2 linked regions of the Callithrix jacchus genome follow. The protein of the gene in region 1 interacts with the protein of each later gene in a biochemical or structural test. Links are inferred from orthologs where the notes say so. Each region holds a gene or a part of one and is shown on either strand. Other genes may lie near its edges.

Region 1 (11,502 bases):
CAATCTTTGGGGTTCAAGTAGCTCTTTCGTGGAGGGCGTGTTCAGTGACTCATGGGTGCCCACATGAGTGTGAACCTCCAGGGCAAAGCTGGCCATGGAGGCTCAGAGAGGTCTGGAAAGAACTTGCCCAGCTCACCGCAGAGCTCAAGCGGGAAAGAGACCACGAGGGTCACCTAGGACCAGAATCTTCCACATCCACAGTCATCTCACCCCATTATGTACAGATGGAGAAGGGGAAGGGGAGACTCAGGCTCTGAGCAGTCTCTTCCCTCCTCCTCATGCCTCGGCCATAATCTGGGCAGGGCCCAGCCTGTGGGGCAAAGATTTGTTTCCTTGGTGGCAAAGACATAACCCAGCTTGGCTCCTACAGCAGTGAAGGCTCTGCAGGGCCAGGCAGGTTGGCAGGAGGCTCTGGGAGTGGGAAGAGGTTTCAGTAGCCTAGGCAATAGCGAGAGTGGCCAACCCGGTCTTCCTGCCCAGTGCCTGCCCTACCACCCACCGCTGAGCTCCGGGCACCAAGGGCATGGCTGGACAGGACCAGCGGCCTGGGAAGAGGCCCTGCCTGCGCTGGACGCCTGCCCGAAAAGGCTCGGAAACCACAGAAGCTGCCTCCCAGTCTCTAAGAGGCTTGGAGAGGAAGTGGGGAGATGCGAACCCCTATCTCCCAGTTGGCAAAGCCGAGGTCGGGCAGGGGCCGGGCTGAGTGACTTCGGCGGAATCCTCCGCTCTAGGAGCGCCACGCAGTCCCGAGTGGGGCAGTCCTAGGTTAGTCCGCCCGGTGCCCGCGACGCGCACCTGGCGGCAGTCCAGGCCAGGTGTCTGGCCTGGGGGATGAGCCCAGCCAGTCCCCGCCGCGCCGGCCCCCCCCCGCCCCCCCAGCCTCCCGGGTCGAGCGGGCGCAGCTCATGTGACCCAGGGCCGGGTTCCCGGGAGTTACGCGCTGACGCCGCGTCACCCCACTCCCGGCCGGGCGCCCATTGGCTGCGCCGGGCCCGGGGGGGGCGGAGCTGGTCTGGCTTGGCGCCCCGATTCCCCTGGGTCTCCGGCCGCTGCCCTAGCCCGCGCGCCAACCCGAGCTGGCCCGACTCTCCCGCTGCCTCCAGCCCCGACAAAATCAGGGGCAGCAGTGCTGGGAGATCCTGGGCAAGTCGCTTCACTGCCCCGCTCCATGTGCCTCAATCTGCTCACCTGTAAAATGGGATGGTAACAGCCTCAACCGCCTGAGGCTGTGGGGAGGAGGGAGTGGGTTTAAAGAGCACTGGGCACGCTGTAAACGCTCAGCGATTGTAGACAGTGCAGAACCCGCCGTCTGGGGTCACCGTGGACCAGGCTGGATCCCTGACCCCTGATAGGCACACCCGAAGAGGGCTTGTGTCCACGTTCCTCGGGTGTGCTCAACGTTCCCCAGCCAAGCGCGGCCTGTTTCAAGGTCTCAGGATTTTTGAAGGGAGGAGCCGCCAAGACAAGCCTGTTCCCCTGAAAAATGGACCCCCTCTCCTGGCTTCCCCAACCCTCACCTTGAGAGTTGTCCTGGTAATCCCAGGCTGTGAGGCAAAGATTTGTTTCTTTGGTGGCAAAGATGTAAATTCCTCCCACCCCAACGTGGGACTGTGCCCATGGGGGTTTCAGTTGGATTTTCTGGGCTGCGGGTCTCCTGTTGTCTTTGTCTTCTCTTCTTCTCCTCTCTCCTAACTCCTGCAGTTATGGAGTGCATATTTATTGAGCTATACTATTTACATATGTGGTAACCCATTTAAAAAATGGTGAGGCGGTCGGGGACAATGCTGTAATCCCAGTACTTTGGAAAGCCGTGCAGGCGGATTACTGGAGGCCAGGAGTTTGAAAGCAGCCTGGCCAACGTGATGAAACCCCATCTCTACTAAAAATACAAAAATTAGCTGGTGTGGTGGTGTATGTCTGTAATCCCATATACTCTGGAGGCTGAGGCAAGAGAATTGCTTGAACCCGGGAGGTGGAGGTTGCAGTGAGCTGCAATTGCGCCACTGCACTCCAGCCTGGACAACAGAATGAGACTCTGTCTCAAAAACAGCAACGACACCAAAAAAAGGGATAGTTGGTCGTGGTAGCTCAGGCCTGTAATCCCAGCACTTTGGGAGGCTGAGGTGGGTGGATCACCTGAGGTCAGGAGTTCAAGACCAGCCTGACCAATATGGTGAAACCCCGTCTCTATGAAAAATAAAAAAATTAGCCAGGTATGGTGGTGTGAGCCCGTAATTTCAGCTACTCAGGAGGCTGAGACAGGAGAATCTCTTGAACGTGGGAGGCGAAGGTTACAGTGAGCCAAGATCCTGCTGCTGCACTCCAGCCTGGGTGATAGAGCGAGACTCTCAAAACAAGAAACCAAACCAAACAAAAAACAGTGAGGCAAGTCTGTTGCGATGATGACTCTGAAACACCCTACCTGCCTCTGCAGAGTGACTGAAGGAAGGGTTAGTCCCATTTTACAGATCCAGTAGCTGAGACTCAGAAGAGAGGTAAGTGGTTCCAGGTCACACAGCAAGCAGGTGAAAACCCAGGTCACCTGCCTAGCTCTGAAGAAAGAGTTGAGGCTTGGCTGAGCACTTCCCATCCCACCCCTCTCCCTGGGAAGGGCTGTTTAAATTTTCAGGGAAGTCACCAGCTTCCTGCGTTCCCCCTCCCCAGTATTGGTGGGGGTGGGGCACTGAGATGCCAGCTTCATTCCCTGGGTTCTCCAGCAGTGGTTCATCTGGAGGGAGTGGGTCCTGTGTGGATCCTTGAGTAGGGGTGGCTGAGGAGATGTGGTTTGGCGACCCCCATAACTCTGGCGTTCCTGTTCTGGGTAATTTTCCATCGCAGCCACTTCTGAGAGAGGAACAAAGGGAGCTGCATGTCCAAGCCCAGGGACTTGGCTTTGTGGCTTCTCTCCCCCACACACCCCTTCTAACATGCACAGGAATTTTACTCCTGCTTAGGGTGTGGTCAGACCATATCTGGAGTCTGAGCAAGGCAGTCTGCAGGATGGCTTGACTCATTAAAGCCCAGGGTCCAGAGGGCCTGAGGACCAGGCCCTGGTGAGTTTCCTTGGCTGCCCTCCACCAAGGGTGCTTCTGTCTGCTTGCATACCTCTGGGGACAGGGAGCTCACTGTCTTATCACATTCAGATAACTGAATGTTAATTCTGGTTTATTTCAACCCACCTCATTGGGACCCCTTCCCTCCTTCCCGCTCCACCTGGCTCTGTCCCTAGGCCACAGAACTGGGTTTGGTTTCTCTCTTCTCATCAGGGCTGTCTGCTCTGACCTAGTCCCAGCTGTCATGGTCCAGGGCAGCCTGGCTCTGAGCTAAAGCTCAGCCAACTCTTCCTTGTGGCCCCTGTCTTGGCCACTCCCAGGAACAAGCACCAAATTTGGGATCAGACAGCCCTGGGGCCAGCCGTCCTTGGGTACCCGCTTCCTCTGTCAGGAGCGGCACTGGGCCTGCTGGGGTCCTATCCCTAGGGCTGGATCTGGGACGAAACCAGATGACGACGATAGGAAATTCCAGCCTCTTTCTTCAGTCACTCCTGTCTTCAGGTGGCCAATCTTCTGGTTTCTTTGGAGAGAGGGCAGGCTGATCTCCACATCGTCACTAGCCTCCCAGCCTGCCGGTGAGGAAGCATCATGAGGCCCACGTTACAAATGAGGGAAACTGAAGCTGAGTGATGTAACTGGCCCAGCAGTTACATCAGGTCTGCTCACAACACAGCAAACCTGGGACCCCTGTAACTTGGGTCCTGGTCTGTGTTGTTCTCAAGAGTGAAATCTAGGAAGTGAGGAAGCTTTGGTTTGTGATGGGCCCAGGCCTGGGGCTTCCACTCAGCTCCTTGCTTGGTGCTGGAGAAACCGAGGCCCAGAGAGAGGACTTGGTTTACCCGCGTTCCCGCAGCAGCCGGCCAGAGGCCGCTCTGCCACGGTGCGCGAGGCTGGACAAAATGAATGACTGGAGGGCGCTCTGGAGGAGGGGCCCGCTGAGGGCAGATTTGTGGCGCAGACTGGGGATCAGGGGTACCCGCTCTCTCAAGGTGGGGCGGGGCCGTCTATCTGGGAGGGCGGGGCCTCCCCCGAAAGGCCCCGCCTCCTCCTTCACCGCCCAGCGGAGCCGCTGCCGCGGGAACCCAGTTTCCGAGGAACTTTTCGCGGGCGCCGGACCTCCTGCGAGGCCAGGGCAGGACACGAACGCGTGGAGCGGCGGCGGAAGCTGCGAGCCGGGACCGGCGGCAGTCCCTCAGAAGGGCCGTGCGCGGCGGCGGGCCCGGCGGGCCTCCCGGAGGAGGCGGCTGCGCCATGGACGAGCTGCCCTTCAGCGAGGCGGTTTTGGAGCAGGCGTTGAGCGAGCCGTGCGATCTGGACGCGGCGCTGCTGACCGACATCGAAGGTGCGTCAGGGTGGGCAGGGCTTGAAGCCGCGCCGGGTGGCGCGAGTGGGGGGCGCGCAGGTGGCTCCCTGGCCTTTGTCTCCCCCCTCCCCGGGCGCCAGCTTCGTGCTGAGCTGCGCGCCGTGGACCTCGGTGTCCCGGGCCTCGCCGAGCCTTCCTGGCTCCCGCCCTGGCGTTTCGAGCCGCGCGCTCGGCGAGGACTCCCGGGCCGGGCCGGTGTCCCTTGGCGGCTCCGGGCCGGGACACGTGCGCCTCTACGCGTCCCAGGCCGGGTACCGCCCGACCGGTGGGTGAGTCTCCAGCCCTGTGGCGGCCGCGGCTGGAGCTGGGGACCCGGGCGTCGTCGAAGCCCCGCCCCAGCCCCAGCCGTGACGTCAATGAGAGGTTACTCACGGTCATTCCCTCCGGCCCGAGAGTTCAGCTGGGCGTCGGAGCTCGTGCGCAAGCGCACGGGCGCTGCTCGCCCACTTGCCCGGCCACGGGTCGGGTTTCCCCGGTCTTCTACCGGCATCGCCTCCGCACTCATTCACTAACCGAATGCCAGGCCCCGTCTTAAGCACCGAGGGATCACAGACAGTCCTGGGCACCCGCTCTTTTCGGGAACACCATCCCCCGGGAAACCAGCAAATAGATATTTAGTTGCACGTTGGGTGGAGCGGGGCGAGGGGAGGGCAGGTAGGTGGCTACTTTGGGTAGAGCGTCAGGGACTTCTGAGCTGAGACCTGAGGGCCACCCCCAGGACTAGCAGGGAAAGATGTTTTCCAGGCCAGGGCGAGGGAAGGGCGAAGGCCCCGAGGCAGGGCCTAAGTGTGAGGAGTTAAAGGCTCGTAAAGGTTGCGGAGGGAGAGGACGCCAGCAGCCTTACTCGGCCAGGGAAGGGGCGGAGCAGGACCGCGGCACCTGCTTCCATCTTTGGAGCACCACACTGGCTGTCAGGGGACGGGGTTTGGGGCCAACGGTGGCACTAAGTGCCAGTTAGGAGGCCCGTTGCTTCCATTTTGCAGACAGCAAAGGAAAGTCCCAGCAAATTTCCTCCATGGTTTCCGTGCAGGAGCTTTAGCAACATGGGCTAAGTTGCACTTGGTTGATGAGGAAACTGAGGACGAGGTTGCAGGAAGAAGATGCCTAGACTCACAACCTGAATGGACATGTCCGTGGAACCTGTGGCCACCCTGGGGCTGGCAAAACAGATGTATCTATGCCACCCCCACTCCTGCCCTACTGCAGCCTTGCAGATGAGCTCAGCTGGCTGCCAGCTCCAGGAGCTTCCCAGCCCTTCCTCCTTCCCTCTGGGGCTTGGCTAGGGGAGGACCCAAGAGGAGAGGCCCTGATTTTGAGGCTTTTCCAAAACAGCCTCCCCTACACCTGGCAGGAGGGGTTGTCCTTCACTGCATCCTGGAAAGGTGGACCCTGAAATCCCAAGCCCTAGGGAGATCTAGGCCTGACTTAACTAGTTCCATAGCACAGGGCCCAGTGAGGGTAGTCCAAGAGGCAGCAGGACCAAGCCAGCCGGACATGGGCTTTGGGGTCAGAACTTGAACCTGGATGCTCCTCACTTCCTCTGCCATCCTGCTCAAGCCCTCTCACTCTCTGAACCTTAGTTTCCACCTCCAGAAGAATGAGGATACAAACCCTCCCTTCATGGGCAGCTGGACAGCAGAATCCGGTCTGGGCCACAGGTCTGATACAGACCTTTCTTACTGACTCATGGATAAAAACACTGTCTCTCCAGATCCAAAGGCCAGGCATGGGCAGCCATGTGGCCCAAGTTCTAGTCTGTGAGAGAGCCCCAGTGCCTTGAAGATTCGGCAGCCCCTTCTCACTAGGCAGGCCCAGCTTTACCCAGTTCAGTAGAGGATTTTTCAGTTTTTATTCAAACTTCCTGTTCTTTCCAATTAAACATATTTTTTTTTTATTATTTGTTTTGTTTTGTTTTTTGAGTCGGAGTTTCACTCTTGTTACCCAGGCTGGAGTGCAATGACGCGATCTTGGCTCACTGCAACCTCCGCCTCCTGGGTTCAGGCAATTTTCCTGCCTCAGCCTCCCAAGTAGCTGATATTACAGGCATGTGCCACCATGCCCAGCTAATTTTTTGTATTTTTAGTAGAGCTGGGATTTCACCATGTTGACCAGGATGGTCTCGATCTCTTAACCTCGTGATCCACCCACCTCGGTCTCCCAAAGTGCTGGAATTACAGGTGTGAGCCACCGTGCCCAGCCCCAATTACACATCTTTTTTCATTGTAGAACAATTAGCAAGTGCAAGTGAGCAAAAAGAAGAAACTAAAACCTTTAGACCAGGTGTGGTGGCTCACGCCTATAATCCCAGCACTTTAGGAGGTTGAAGCAGGAGGACTACTTTTATCCAGAAATTTGAGACCAGCCTCGGCCACATGACAAGATCCTGTCTCTACAAAAATAAAAAAATTAGCTGGGTGTGGGTAACACATGTTTGTAGTCTCAGCCATGCTGGAGGCTGAAGTGGGAGGACTGCTTGAAGCTGGAGCTGCAGTGAGCTGTAACTGCGCCACTGCACGCAGCCTGGGTGACAGTGAGATTCTGTCTCAAATAAAACTTTAAAGCTATCACCCAGAGATAAGCCCTGCTAATTATGTGAAAGAGCTTTTCTTCTCTGTCTCTCTCTCTCTCTTTTTGGTTTGGGATGGCTACACACTCTTCATAAACCTTTTTTTTTTTTTGAGACAGGGTCTCACTCTTTTGCCCAGGCTAGAGTGCAGTGGCATGATCTCACCTCACTGCAGCCTCCGCCACCCAGGTTCAAGAGATTCTCCAGCTGCCAGGTAGCTGGGATTACAGTTGTGCACCACTGTGCCTGGTTAATTTTTGTATTTTTAGTAGAGACGGGGTTTCACCGTGTTGGCCAGGCTGGTCTCAAAGTCCTGAGCTCAGGTGATCTGCCCGCCTCAGCCTCTGAAAGTGCTGGGATTACAGGTGTGAGCCACCACACCAGCCTTCATCAGCTTTTTAAAAACAACTTGATTGAGGTATACTTTACATACCACAATATCTATCCATATTAAGTGTGTCATTCAGTGATTTGTAGTTTTCTGCGTTGTGTGACCATTACTAGCTGTAGAACATTTTTATCGCCCAGTAAATTCCCTCCTGCTCCTTTAGTCACCTCCTGCTCTTGCTCCTGGCCCAGGCAGCTATGGATCTGTACTTTTATAAATTAAAATAGGGGGCGGGCGCGGTGGCTCACGCCTGTAATCCCAGCACTTTGGGAGGCCGAGACGGGTGGATCACGAGGTCAACAGATCTAAACCATCCTGGTCAACATGGTGAAACCCCGTCTCTACTAAAAATACAAAAAATTAGCTGGGCATGGTGGCGCGTGCCTGTAGTCCCAGCTACTCAGGAGGCTGAGGCAGGAGAATTGCCTGAACCCAGGAGGCGGAGGTTGCGGTGAGCCGAGATCGTGCCATTGCACTCCAGCCTGGGTAACGAGAGCGAAACTCTGTCTCAAAAAAAAAAAAAATTAAAATAGGGTCCATAGTTTCACAGAAGATTGGAACCTGCTTGGTTCCATGTCAACAGCTAGATGACAATCAGGCTCCCTCAATTCCCCACCTGATCCCCTGTCGATGGACACCTGGGTTGTTTTATCTTCATAAACTGTGCTATAGTGGACACCGAGGCCAGTCTCTGCCCAGTCCTCATTGTGTTTCTAGGATGAGATTCTGGGAGGGGATTGCTGGACAGAGATTGAGCCTGCTTTCGAAGCTTCTTCTACTAGGCATAGAGCTGAGCAGGTTTGATAAGGTCTGAAGAGAGGTGATTTGGGGGTGGAAATGCCAGGTCTCTTGAGAGACATGAGGGATAAGAGGAGGCCAGGCCAGCCTTGATTGTCAGAGTACAGAGCTGGGCTAGATGTGGGGGTCAGTCAGCAGTCGGAGCAGGGGCGCGCTGTGCTTCAGCTCCCTCTGGCTGCCTGGGTGGAGGATCGTAATGTGAACAGAAAACACTAATTGAGTCCTTACTGTGCTCCAGACACTACTGATGATCTTATTTAATCCCCCGACAACCCCAAGTGGGTAGACATATGATGAAGATGACAGCCTTGAGCACCAGAGAGGTTAAGTGACTTGCCTGAGGTCACACAGCCAGATAATGGCAGAGCCAGGATTCAAACCCAGGCCATGGGCTCCGGAACCTAGCTCTTAAGCTCTTAATCACTGAGCTCCTAAGAATGGGGATGAGGGGTTGAGGGAGGCTGCTCCATGTGGGGCTATGTGGGGACCTGGGAGTGTGGGTCATAGAGGGGTCAGAGGTTATGTGGCCACCTCCCCATCCCAGTCCACAGTAGCGTTTGAGTCATCAGACTGGGAACTGGCCCAGGGGAGCCAGCCAAGGGTTTTGAGCCCCATTCTGTCCTGCTGCCTGCCATGGCCAAACGCTTGTCACGTGGATGGATTTGGGAGTGGAGAGCCCTTGCGTCTGTGGGTGAAGGCACTGTCCTGGCTATAGTGCCCCTGGGTTTGAGTCCTGCCTCTGCACCAAGACCTCAGGCTCACCTGTCTCCTCCTGGGCCTCACAGTACCTTGCGGCAGTGGGGAGTGATGGATCGGGAGAGCAGTCCTGTGCCTGCATTGGGGATTATTATTAAGCCTGTGGCAGTCTTCACCTCCCTGCTGAGGATTCATTCATCCGATTTTGCACAAGCTTCTAAGTGCAGAAGAGGCAGATGGAAACAGAGCTCTGGCTGAGGGCCTAGAAGGGGGCCTCAGGGTCTCTTTCCTCTACCTGGACCCCGTCATGTCTGCTCTTTGTCAGACCCCAGATTTCTGCCAACCCCCATCAGACGCTGCTTCCTGGGAAGCTCTTCTGGGCGTCACCTTGACCTAAGCAGTGCATCCTCAGAGTTCTCCAGCCCTGATGTCCCTCCCAGCATGCCCAGCCCAGCCACCACAGAGCCTGGCTTCCAGTCATGTGTCTGGCTGTTTCCTGGGTCCAGGCCAGCCCTGGTAGGACACAGTGGGGGCCCGCTCTGCCACCCCATACCTGTCCCCAGAAATCTCATGTCCCAGTTCCCTTCCCAGTCCTACCAAGCACCTGGATGCCTTGGAAAACATAGCTCTAACTGTTCACTGTCCAGGTCCCAGCATGGAACTCCCCTGCTCTCCAACCATGCATAGCTCCCCAGTGCTCCAAGATAAAGTTCCCTTCTCTCCGAGGGGCATTCAAGACTTGCAAAGGTTGCCAAACATGCCCCTCCTGTGATATTGGCCATTTATCCAGAATCCCTGGCCTCAGGCACAGCCTGCTCTGCTATGGTGCCCCTTCTCCCTCATCCCGGTGTTGAGAGCCCTCTCGGGGGTGGAGCCTGAGGGGGTCTCTCCTATCAGACATGTTCCCCTTCCCATGCCTTTTTCTGCCTCTTGGCATCCAGCCTGTCCAACCCCAGGGTGGCAGAAAGCTCTCCCAGTGTGACCATGCATTGCTGTTTCTCCTAGGGAAAGCACCCTGCCCTCTCTGAACTGCAGGGCGCTCCCCTGAAAAGCAGGAAATGGAGGCTGTAGGATTTGCTGCCTTTCAGCCCCCAAGGGGTTTGGCCCTAATGCATCTGAAGGGACAGGGTTGGGGAGATGGAGAGGAGGGTGCTGGGAGGGGGACCAGGGAGGCAGCGGGCAGGTGGCTGGTAGTTACCTCCTGCCCAGCAGTCAACTAGCCAGACACAAACATCCCAAGTGACCCGGTCAGCTCCAGGCCGGAGTCACTGCCAGCAGAGGCCTGGGATCTAGACTTTGCCCGCTGACAGGTGGAGCCCAGGCTGGCCAGAGGAAGTGCCTCTGGCCTTGTCTCCTACCTGCCACCGGCCATGTGGATGTGCCCTTTGACCCTGGGCACTGACGTGTGACAGTCTGCACCGTGTGCTCCACAGGAGTGGTTGTGTGTGTCAGGGGCGAGGGGGAGAGCCTTAACTAGCTCAGGGGTGAGAGGGCAGGGAGTCATTGAGACTGGCTCCGTGTGGGTCCCCTGCTGGGTTGGGGCTTGTGGGAGGTGGCACAGGGCCGAGGGAATTTGTAGCCTCCCCGAACCCTGTGTGAGCTCCTTCCCCTAACTGAACCCCATCTCTGTAGCTATCTCCGAGCAGGTCTTGCCTCTGCCCGCTGCCCCTGCCAGGCTCTGGGGACCCTGTGCTCCCTGCAGCTAGAAGGCGGTGACCCAGGGGTCTTCATGTGCAGTTCTTGGACAAGTCTGAGAACCTTCAGGTTCTTATCAATATAAAGGGAACAATACTAGAACCAGCTTCTTGGAATTGTGGGGATCCGACGAGTGAAGGCGTTTAAGTGGTACATGGCACATGGTAGGTAGGCCCTGAACCAAGGCCAGTCAGTATTATAATTATCACCATGGAGTCAGATGCAGTGGCTCATGCCTATAATCGCATTGACTTTAGAGGCTGAGGTGGGAGGATTGCTTGAGGCCAGGAGTTCAAGACCAGCCTGGGCAACATAACAAGACCCTGTCTCTGAAACAAACAAGTCATCATTTAGCGCACTTAACCAGTATCTGGCACCCAATAGGTTTAGCTCTACAAATATTGGTAGCAATTACCCAAGAAGCCTGTGCTGGAAGTTTCTAGGATGTACCAGGCTATGGTTCCAAGTTCTGAGCATCTACCATGTGGTGGTCTGGAGTCAGTGAGAGACAGAATGGGGCTGACTAGGCCAGTGGGGAACCCCCACCCCCACCACAGGGAATAGGCACCCTATCCTTGATTTCCATGAAAGATAATTGCCTTGCCGGGCATGGTGGCTCACGCCTGTAATCCCAGCCCTTTGGGAGGCTAAGGCAGGAGGATCACTTGAGTCCAGGAGTTCAAGACCAGCCTGGGCAGCATTGTGAGATCCAAACTAAAAAAATTAGCTTGGCGTGGTGGAGCGTGCCTGTAGTCCCAGTTACTCAGGAGGCAGAGGCTGAGGCTAGAGGATTGCTTGAGCCCAGGAGGTGGAGGCTGCAGTGAGCCATGATTGTACCACTGCACTCCAGCCTGGGCAACAGAGTGAGGCCCCATCTCAAAACAAACAAATGAGAATAACATGCTGAGGAAGCAGTGTTTCTGGCTGGGGGAGGAGCAGCAGA
Region 2 (9,727 bases), on another chromosome or scaffold:
ATCACCTAGGAGGCTTATATAAATTTCATGGTGAGCTTTTTTACATTTTAATTTCATCTAAACCTCCATAATCAAAAGTCAGCTTGGCAGAACCACATGGTAATAGTGGTTCTAAAGGTTTTATTTTAATTATTTAAAAATGAAGTGTTCTGAGGATAAGTATTGTGGATGGTGCCATGAAGTATAAAATATACAACATAAAAATACAAACAAAAGTCTGAGTTCAGAACAGGGTGATGTTACTATAAACTAAACAGATCTTGGCAGCCTTCTTGGATGGGTAGGATTTGAACTGTGATGCATCAGGTTTATAGCAGCAGCAGGAAAAAGAGCATACGAGGCAGAAGGGATCGTTTTGGGGAAAATCATGGAGGAGATAAAATAAGGTATATTTGAAGAAAAATTGCTTTGTTGGGTTTAATTGAAAATTCTTACCAGAGAGTTCTAGATATAAGGCTGGAAAGACAGATTGCACCTAACTGTAGCTCACTTTGAATGCTATGCTGATTTTATAATTGCAGATGCTAATCATCTGGAAGTTATTGAGTATGATCATGGCATGGGAAACATTATTTCAGAAAGGTACATCCAGTTATAGTTGGCAGCAGTCTTAGGAGGAAGCCCTTTCAAGGACATGTCAAAAAGCCCAGTTGTGTGATTAGTATCCAAACAACAATGGTGGCATTGAAAATGAGAAACAGGAAAAAAAGGGGACAAATGATTACAAAAGAAAGAACAGGACTTGATTGGTTGGTTATAGGGAAAATATTGAAAGAAAAATCAAAGACAGCTTTAAAGTTTTAAGCATAGTAACTGGAGAGTGGCAGGGTCAGTGACGGAAATGTGAAGGTTGTGGAGCAGCCACTAAGGGAACAAAGTGGTTGGCAGCCAGTCCTTCTTCATCTTTAAGATACCTTTCCTCAAAGCAATAGCAATAATTGTGTGTTAACATGATAGAATAGGCATAAAGTTCAAGTGAGCATTCTTTTAAAAATGTTTTTCTTTTGGATTAGGTAATATATGCACTTGGTAGGAAGAGTATATAGTGAAAAGTAGTTCCATCCTGTTTCCAGCTAGCCAGTTTCTTTCTCGGTAGGCAGTCAATGTTACCGATCTCTTGCCATCCCTTCTTAGAGATCCTGGGTGTTTTTCTTTTGTTTTGTTTTGTTTTGTTTTGTTTTTAACACAAATAAAATGTAATACACACATTGTTCTGTGCCCTGTTTGTTTCAACTTTATCATATATTAGGGTTGGCCATTTGTATCAATACATGCCATAATTTATTTTATTAGTTCCCTGTTTTTGACTTTTTAGGCTGTTTTTCATTTATGGTAGCGTAAAGAACATCCCTTGTTGTATGTCAAGGGATGAAAATTTATGCAGAATACATTTTCAGAAATGGAGTTGCTTCCACTTAAATAAAAACAAATGCAAATACAAACTGCATATTACTAGAAGCATTCTGAGCCTTCTGCCTCTACTCAGGTTAAAATATCCATAGTATACAATTGTCCAGCTGTGAAATTGTTTCATAATCTTCTGAGCTGTTTTTCAGTTATCTTGAAAGCAGTGGATTAGTTTTTCACAGTTATCAGTAACCAGTTAAACGTGTGGTGATATTTTTTTTCTTGGCAGATCGTCCAGTGACTTACCTGTATAATACTCTGCACTATTATGAAATGCACCTGAGAGACCGCGCATTTCTCAAACGAAAACTCGTCCATGCTATCATCGGCTCTCTCAAGGATAATAGACCACAGGGCTGGTGTCTAAGTGACACTTACCTGAAGTGTGCTATGAATGCACGAGAGGAAAATCCATGGGTTCCAGATGACACCTACTATTGCAGATTGATTGGCAGACTAGTCGATAATATCCTTTCTACTCTGATTTTACAGACTCTCCAGAAATAACAGTATTTTGATTTATGAGAACGTATTTTTCTTTTTAAGGTAATTTTTTATATATTCCAAGGTTTTACTTTTTTTTTTAAGATCACTTCCCTTTTTATCTCTCTAAAGGTTTGAAATCTTAAATTAGCAGCATCATGCCAGATAGGCTGAAATTCTTTTAAAATTTATATTTTAGAACTTGAGGATAAGTGGTTAAAAATTATATTTAAAAATAGACTTTATGGAGATTTGTTTCAAAGAAAAAAATTTATTCTTAAATGAACTCTATTTTGTAGCACATGCATCTGTGTGCTACTGGAGAATGTAGCATCTTGTTACTTTAAAAAAGTATGTTTTTATTAAATAATAAACGATAAAACATTTTTCTTTTTTTAGTGAAAAGGGATATTTTAGTGAAAATATACTTGTATGTTTCTTCATTTTGATTTTATGTTTTCATTTATTAGCATCTATACTTCATACCACCATTTTACTATGTAGAGAAATTCTACGTAAATGAGTGTGACTTGTTTTCCTACATAAAGGAATTTATTTTCTGAAGCAAAAGAAGAGCTCATTATAAAATAATGTTCATATTAATGTCTTATAACTTTTAGAAGAAATAGGCTCATGAAGTCTAGGTATACCTTGATTGCATCTGTGGCTATTATACATCACATTTATAAGAACCCACCTGTAAGACCAACCATTTATACTTGTGGTTAATTAAATGATTGCTCTTAATACATTTCAATCATGTCAGTGTTATTGCTTTAACTGTGTGCACCAATGGCTGGCAAATCTCCTGGTCCCTTTCCAAACTGTGACTGGAGATTCAATGAGTTTCCCAACCCAGCTGCCCACGCTCTCCATGTTACATGTGTGGAGCTCATGGCCTTGGCAGTTTCAGGCAAAGAGGTCGGGAATGCCCTTCTAAATGTTGTCCTGAAAAGGTATGTATTCTGGTTCATGCAGTAAGATTTGTTGTTTATTTGTAAACAGAATGGTGTTTTATTTGGACCTTTAAGACAGACCTGTTGCCACAAGGCTGTTGAACATTGGATGATGACTGTTTTCTGGTTCCAGATCTTGTCTTTGTGATATAGGAGTTATGGAATGAGCCCTGGATAGGATCATTAAGATCTGGGTTTGTTCCTACTTCTACTCATTAATAGCAGTTTGACATTTAGTTTAGGATTAATGTTAACTTGTCACTTAAAACAAGATTCTCTTAATCTTGTTTTCAAGATTTCAAGAATCTCTTAAAAACTAGCACAAAATATTGGATAATGATTGGGGAAGAAGTATTTTTAAAGAGCCTTATTGAGTTTCTATGTATATTACATTTTTATTCAATAAAAAATTCCCCATTGTTTTATTGAAATTGATTAGTTTTCAATCCTCTGAATTATACATATTCTTTAAAACTAAGATCCATTGTCAACCATCTAAAATGTTTTTATAATTTCATACTTGTGTTCTTTTTTGCTGGTTGCAGTCAGCCTTTAGTGCCAAGAGAGAACATTACAGCATGGATGAATGCAATTGGTTTGATCATCACTGCCTTACCAGTGAGTTAATAATTGTGATTTGTACTTACTGATGAAATACAGCCCCTTGTTCCATGTCAGCAAAAAGAAAAAGATGCATATAGGATGCCCTGGTACAAGGACGTCAAACAAATTAATGAAGTATTTTATGTTTTTAAAGTTTTTCATATTATTACTGCTTTAAAAATTTACAGTGACTAGTTTTTGCCTTTCTGTATTAGATCTAAATACCTCTGCATAACTTACATGTCTCTGCATTTTCTGGTACCACCTTACCTATCCAACTTTAGTTTTTACATTATAACCTGATCTACTCTTGGCCACTTAATATGTTGTGTATCTACAGCCTTTGTTCTTGCAGATGGTACTTATTAAGACATGTTTTAGGTACTTCCGAATGTGAGTGAATAAGACATTATTTTTATTCCAGAACCTTCTTCTTTCCATCACCTTCTCTAAAGCCTATTTATTCTTTGCTAGCTTAGAGCCTCCTTTCTTAGTGAATGAAGCCTTACCTGACTTTTCCAGCCCACATGAAGACTCCCTTCTCTGACCTCCACACATATCTAAAAAAAAGTTTATTATTATAAAATAAGCAATAAAACTATTGATTTATTGTTTGGTAAGTTAATTGATTTACTGCATAGTATATATCAGGTACCTAAATGAGCTGGACAGATAAATGTATGGAGCCCCCTAACTCACAGGCACTTCTCCCAGGTTGTTACTGACTTAATTTGCCCAGTTACAAAGTCATCCAACAGATTTCCAGCAGAAGCTGGAAAAGTAGAAAACTTTAAAGACTGAGAAAACACTATTATTTTAGTCTTTGTGATAGAATGCTAGATAAGTGATTTTTTCACTAGCTTTCCTCCAATTTTAAAGGAGCCATACTGGATTGTTCTTCATGATCGAATTGTGAGTGTTATCAGCAGCCCCAGCTTGACATCTGAAACAGAGTGGGTTGGCTATCCATTCCGCCTCTTTGATTTCACTGCCTGTCATCAGTCCTACTCTGAGATGAGCTGTAGCTATACATTAGCTCTCGCACATGCTGTGTGGCACCATTCTAGCATTGGACAACTTTCTCTCATTCCAAAGTAAGTGTAATAATTTCTTAAAGAAATTTGACATATTTCATTTTTTTCAATCTCATTAACAGATGAGGTATATACCTCATTCATTAGAACAATTTGCAAAGTAAGTTCATCAGAAAGCTCCTTTTGCTTCAGAATTGTTTTCTGAAAAATTGACTTGTATATGCTAGTAATAATCTAGTAATGTAGTTTTTCCACTGTAGTTTGAAGAGGCTTAGTCAAATGCATACCTTTTCCAGAATGTATCCCGAAAGTTACCTTTTAAACTGAATAACTGCTATTATCCTATTTCCTGATTATTTTTCTTGACCATAAAAGTGGTATTAATTGATTGAAATTTCTATATCGTGGCATTTATTAGATTATTCTCTTTTTATTTCAGATAAATCAGTAGTTTTACTGTAAAGAATGATTTAAATCCGGTATTTCAATAAATAATCAAATGAAAGTAATAGCCAGTAAGAGATGTGAGATTAATTAGAAATATTATTGTTACAGAATTAAAAGAAACTTTTAAAATTAAAAGTTTTGTTGTAATACTTTATAAATACTATATTAACAAAATTCAAACAATTTAAATAATTTCAAGTTACAGGAGATTTTTATTTTTATCTTCAAATTTTAGGTTTCTCACGGAAGTACTTCTTCCTATAGTGAAGACTGAATTCCAGTTGCTTTATGTTTACCATCTTGTAGGACCATTTTTACAAAGATTTCAGCAAGAGAGAACTCGTTGTATGATAGAGGTAAAATATAGTCTGGGTTTTCTGTGACATGATTAAATTCTGAATTATCTATTTAGGTTTCTTTGCATTATTGGAACCTCAGGTCACAACCATTAGAAGTGAAACTAGTTTAACAAGATCCAAGAGCGATTGTAGAGGACTTAGTATGCCAGTAATTATGTGGGGTGGGATGTATTGAATTGGATATGCAGGGGAAATACCCATCATGAAGGCTGAGAAGAGGTTAAGGATGGAGAAGTACATTTGAGATCTTACAGTGCAGAGGAACTAATGAAAATCATGAGAATGGATGATATCAGTCACTTATAACAAGATGTCAAAAACAAGGAAAGGAGCCAGGAATAGAACCTTAAGGCAAGAGCTACCAAATGGAACAAAGAAAGTATAATCCAAAGGATCCCTAGAAGTAGAGTTTACCCAGACATCGAGATATGGTGTCTAGAAAGGAATTGTTTATCTCTTAATTTCAAGAGAAATTACTAAACTATGAAGAGATATTTTATTTAAGCCTTATTAGGGGCATTTTATAGCACTACAGATTGTTTTATAAATGCAGGTCACATTGTATCTCCCAAGTGCATAGAGGTGTATATATGGCATGTGACAGTTCTACAGCAAACACAGTATCTGCCGGTGCTAGTGCTATAATGGTGCCCATCTGCATCATGCTGAATTATTGAATCACTTCACTTTCGACCACTTAAATAATTTTACATTATTTGTAAACAGATTGGTGTGGCGTTTTATGACATGCTGCTGAATGTCGACCAGTGTAGCACCCATTTAAATTACATGGATCCCATCTGTGACTTCCTGTATCACATGAAGTATATGTTTACTGGTGATAGTGTGAAAGAGCAAGTAAGCTGAATTTCTTTAATTCTTTTTAATGATGCTGGATTTGGAAAATTTGAACATATAGTGATAGACTTTTTTGATTTGGGTGATTATTTTTGTCTTTTTTTTTTTTTTTTAAGGAAAAAGGGTGGGTATGAGACCTTTTTAGGCAACAGGGGCGTATTATTCTAGATGACATACTAAAGTAAATACAAGTTATAATTTCTCATCCTTTTCTCTCTTGATATTTGCAACAGAACATCTAAAAAAAAAAGATGTAGAGGGTTAGTTAATGGTAATCTCATTGGGGAGAAACAGTGGGATATGGCTGCTGAAGTATGAGCAGAGAGGTTGCTGTGTTCTGAGTAAAGGAGGTCCTACTTCTCCTGACACTTACGGTGACAAACTGCGGCTTAACTAGAAGACTAAACTCAGGATTCCAGACTAAACCTGACTAGAGACTAACTCATGAAGAGTATTTAAAGCATATGGGAATGCTGACCCTGAAAAAAAAAGTCTTAGGGAATTATTGATGACCTCAGTCTTTGGAAAGGTTTCCGTTTGGAAAGAGAGGCCATGCTGACATAGCATATGAAGAGGAACTTCCTAATAGAGATGCCTGAAAGTAGAAAAAGACCTTGAATCATAACTGAGTTCCTATGTGTAGGAAACAGAATCTGGGCTATTTTAAAGGGGTGGAGGTAGGACAGACAGGGAAAGTTAAGTCCATCCTCTTCCACTTCCCAATACTTTAATGTTATTTCCTTCTATAATGGAGAGGAAGATAAACTGCTGTGTAGCCATATGAGTCTAGTCTAAGGCTTCTTTCTTTGGAGCTGGAGTTGGGAGGATGTTGACTCCTTATGTCTCAGCAGCAGTGTCAAAGAGAGTTAACCTGTTCTCCCTCATGTAAGAAAGAAATTGTATCTGCTTTTGTTACAACACAGAACATTCAGAAAACCTGTGAAGAAACGTTTTTGTTTTTTTTGTTTGTTTGTTTTTAGTTCTTAGAGTATTCTTTACATTTGAGCCTAAGTTTGACTCAAGGGAGTACAGAAAGGAAAAGGTCAAACAGCCTTTGAGTAAAGCTAAGAAAGCTGTGGAACTACTTGATGTATTTGTCTCTTTAGTGTTTTTCAAAAGAGTAGATCTAATATTATTTATTTTGAATTCCAAGTATAAATCAAACCTAAAATAATTAGCTTTGTAGATGAATGTTGCAGACATGAGTTATTCAAAGAACTTTAAAATATAATTAATGCTTCATGCTTCTGTAAAGATAGCATTTTAAAAAATGATCAACTCGTTGGATGTATAAAATTTCCAGTATAAACTCTGCTAGCTTTTGGTAGCAGGATGACTGGCTAGCTAGATAAATGGATATGCTTTTGTAAGTATATGCATATATTTGACTATACATGTGGTACATGTACAGACATGCATATGTAACATATAATGGGTGTGTGTGAGGGAGAACATGTTGTTTCTCATGCAAGAAAGATATAATTGTATCTGCTTTTCTTAAAACACAGAACATGTTGAGAAACTTCTCATCTACCCCACGCCGCTCCTTAGTTTATTGTCTCAGGATATATGTAAGTCTTGCTTTAAATGTGAGAAGTTGAAATTCTCTGATTAAAGTACTTTTTAATGTGTTTTTATTTCTTAGGTGGAGAAGATTATCTGTAACTTAAAACCAGCTTTGAAACTTCGTCTTCGATTCATCACACACATTAGCAAGATGGAGCCAGTTGCAGTGCCTCCACAAGCCATCAACAGTGGGTCTCCAGCACCTCAGTCTAATCAGGTGCCAGTGTCTCTACCAGTAACTCAGTGAAGCCAGACTCTACTATGGAGAAAGTGGAAATGCATCCATCTTTGAGAGTGGACTCAAACCTATTAAATCTGAATGCTGTCATGCTATAGTGATAATAGTAGAAGCAGTGATGATGTTCAGATTGTTTTATTTTGATTCAGATGATGAATCTGTTGACACCTTATAACACCCATCTCCCTAACTATATTTTTGTCTCTAAGAGATCAAGATTCATGTTGTTCATATTCATAACAACTTATTAGAGCTACGTAGGAACATAGAGGTATCTGTGATCAAGTGACTTTGTCATTGGCACTTTCAGTCTTTTCTAGCTGTTGCTTTTGTTTGTATTTTTTTATTAATAACGTATTTAGTGTTCAGATATATTATTTTAAAGGCACCACACATGTAAAACAGTTATTACAAATCCTTTTATACGTAAATCTCTTTTGGTAGATCTTTAGAATAATAGAGATTTTTATCAAGAAAAAAAATCTGCACTTTGTTGCATTGTAGGAACAAACAAGGCTTCATATTCTTTTTTAAATGACTTGAAATTTTATTATAAATTTCCATTGTTTCTATCAAGGTCAGTTGGCAGTTTTATTACCTTTGCTATGGACTCAAACTTACTGTATAAAATGAGCTGAAAGCCATGTAAAAAAATAACATCTGAAAATTCTTAAACTTAAATAAAACTATGCTTAAATGGTTGATTCTCCAATTTCTTTTTTTAAAAATAAGTTAATTGCTTTTGCAGGTTGACGCTCTCACCTGACAGATGATATAATTCTTCAAATTCTTATAATCTTAAAATTTTTAAATTTTTATAAAGTACACATTTTATTTCTTCAGAATATCTTAGATTTTGAGAGACATTGTTAATTTGGGGGCAATTGGCATTGTGAGAGACTTGAAAACTAATGAGTAAAATCTGCTGAATGAATAAACCGCGTGACTGTTTCATGACTCCATTGGAATGAGTGTCTGCTGTATGCCAGGTGGTGTGTTGGCTAGGTTCAGTTGGAAATGGGGTACTCTATGGGTCATACACTACAGGTGGTGACTGATGTTGGCCTACGAATTAAGAGTTACAGATTCTTTTAAAAAGAGCTAGTGAATTTAACCAACTGTACTTCAAATTCATGTTTCTAAATACATTCCCCCTAGAACTTTATTTTCTTTGTAGCTCATGTTATTGCCATCACTAAATCATTACTGGCCATGCAAGTCTAGCTAAAAATATATGTAATGGTAAAAATAATTTTTGCAGACTCAATTCTTAAAATTACCTAGAAAAAAATGCTAGAAATTATTTCAAGTTATTAATCTTAACATGGTGTCAATATATTCGTGCTGCCTTGAGGAATATATTACTTTTTGATCCTAGAATGAGAATAAAATTGTGACACTAGTGTTGTACAAACAGAATAGAGGAAGTGAAAATCAATATAATCACTTTCTCAAGGATATAAACATTCTAATTTATTAAAAATTTAGTTTTCCCTCTCTAGTTTAAAAACATGGGATAGATTTTTAAATAGGTTTTTAAGCAGAGACTAAGGGAAGACAAACTTTATTTGGGTCTACAATACTGCTGATGGGAAAAATATGCCTTTATATTTATCACATCCTGAAAGTTTTTCTTTTTGAAAATAGTTTAGAGTGGCCCTGTCTGCAATGATGCAATGTTCTGCATTGATGCAGATGACTTTCTGCAATGATGCAAATGTTCTATACCTGTGCTATTCAATACACTAGTTAGTAGCTGCATTTATCTGTGAAGTA

Evidence for each region. The genes of interacting proteins can lie anywhere in the genome.
Region 2: the proteins of SREBF1 (region 1) and MED23 form a complex in vitro, tested with the Homo sapiens proteins (2 studies listed by BioGRID). The link is inferred for Callithrix jacchus from reciprocal best matches to the Homo sapiens genes SREBF1 and MED23.

What each region holds. Positions count from the first base shown.
Region 1 is NC_133506.1:69,310,266-69,321,767, forward strand, and holds the start of SREBF1 (sterol regulatory element-binding protein 1), read left to right. Parts: upstream 1-4,137; 5' UTR 4,138-4,304; coding exon 4,305-4,395; intron 4,396-11,502.
Region 2 is NC_133505.1:138,227,467-138,237,193, reverse strand, and holds the end of MED23 (mediator of RNA polymerase II transcription subunit 23), read left to right. Parts: coding exon 1-30; intron 31-1,636; coding exon 1,637-1,873; intron 1,874-2,680; coding exon 2,681-2,846; intron 2,847-3,391; coding exon 3,392-3,464; intron 3,465-4,328; coding exon 4,329-4,543; intron 4,544-5,165; coding exon 5,166-5,286; intron 5,287-6,015; coding exon 6,016-6,147; intron 6,148-7,792; coding exon 7,793-7,960; 3' UTR 7,961-8,889; downstream 8,890-9,727. UniProt on the Homo sapiens protein: Required for transcriptional activation subsequent to the assembly of the pre-initiation complex. Component of the Mediator complex, a coactivator involved in the regulated transcription of nearly all RNA polymerase II-dependent genes.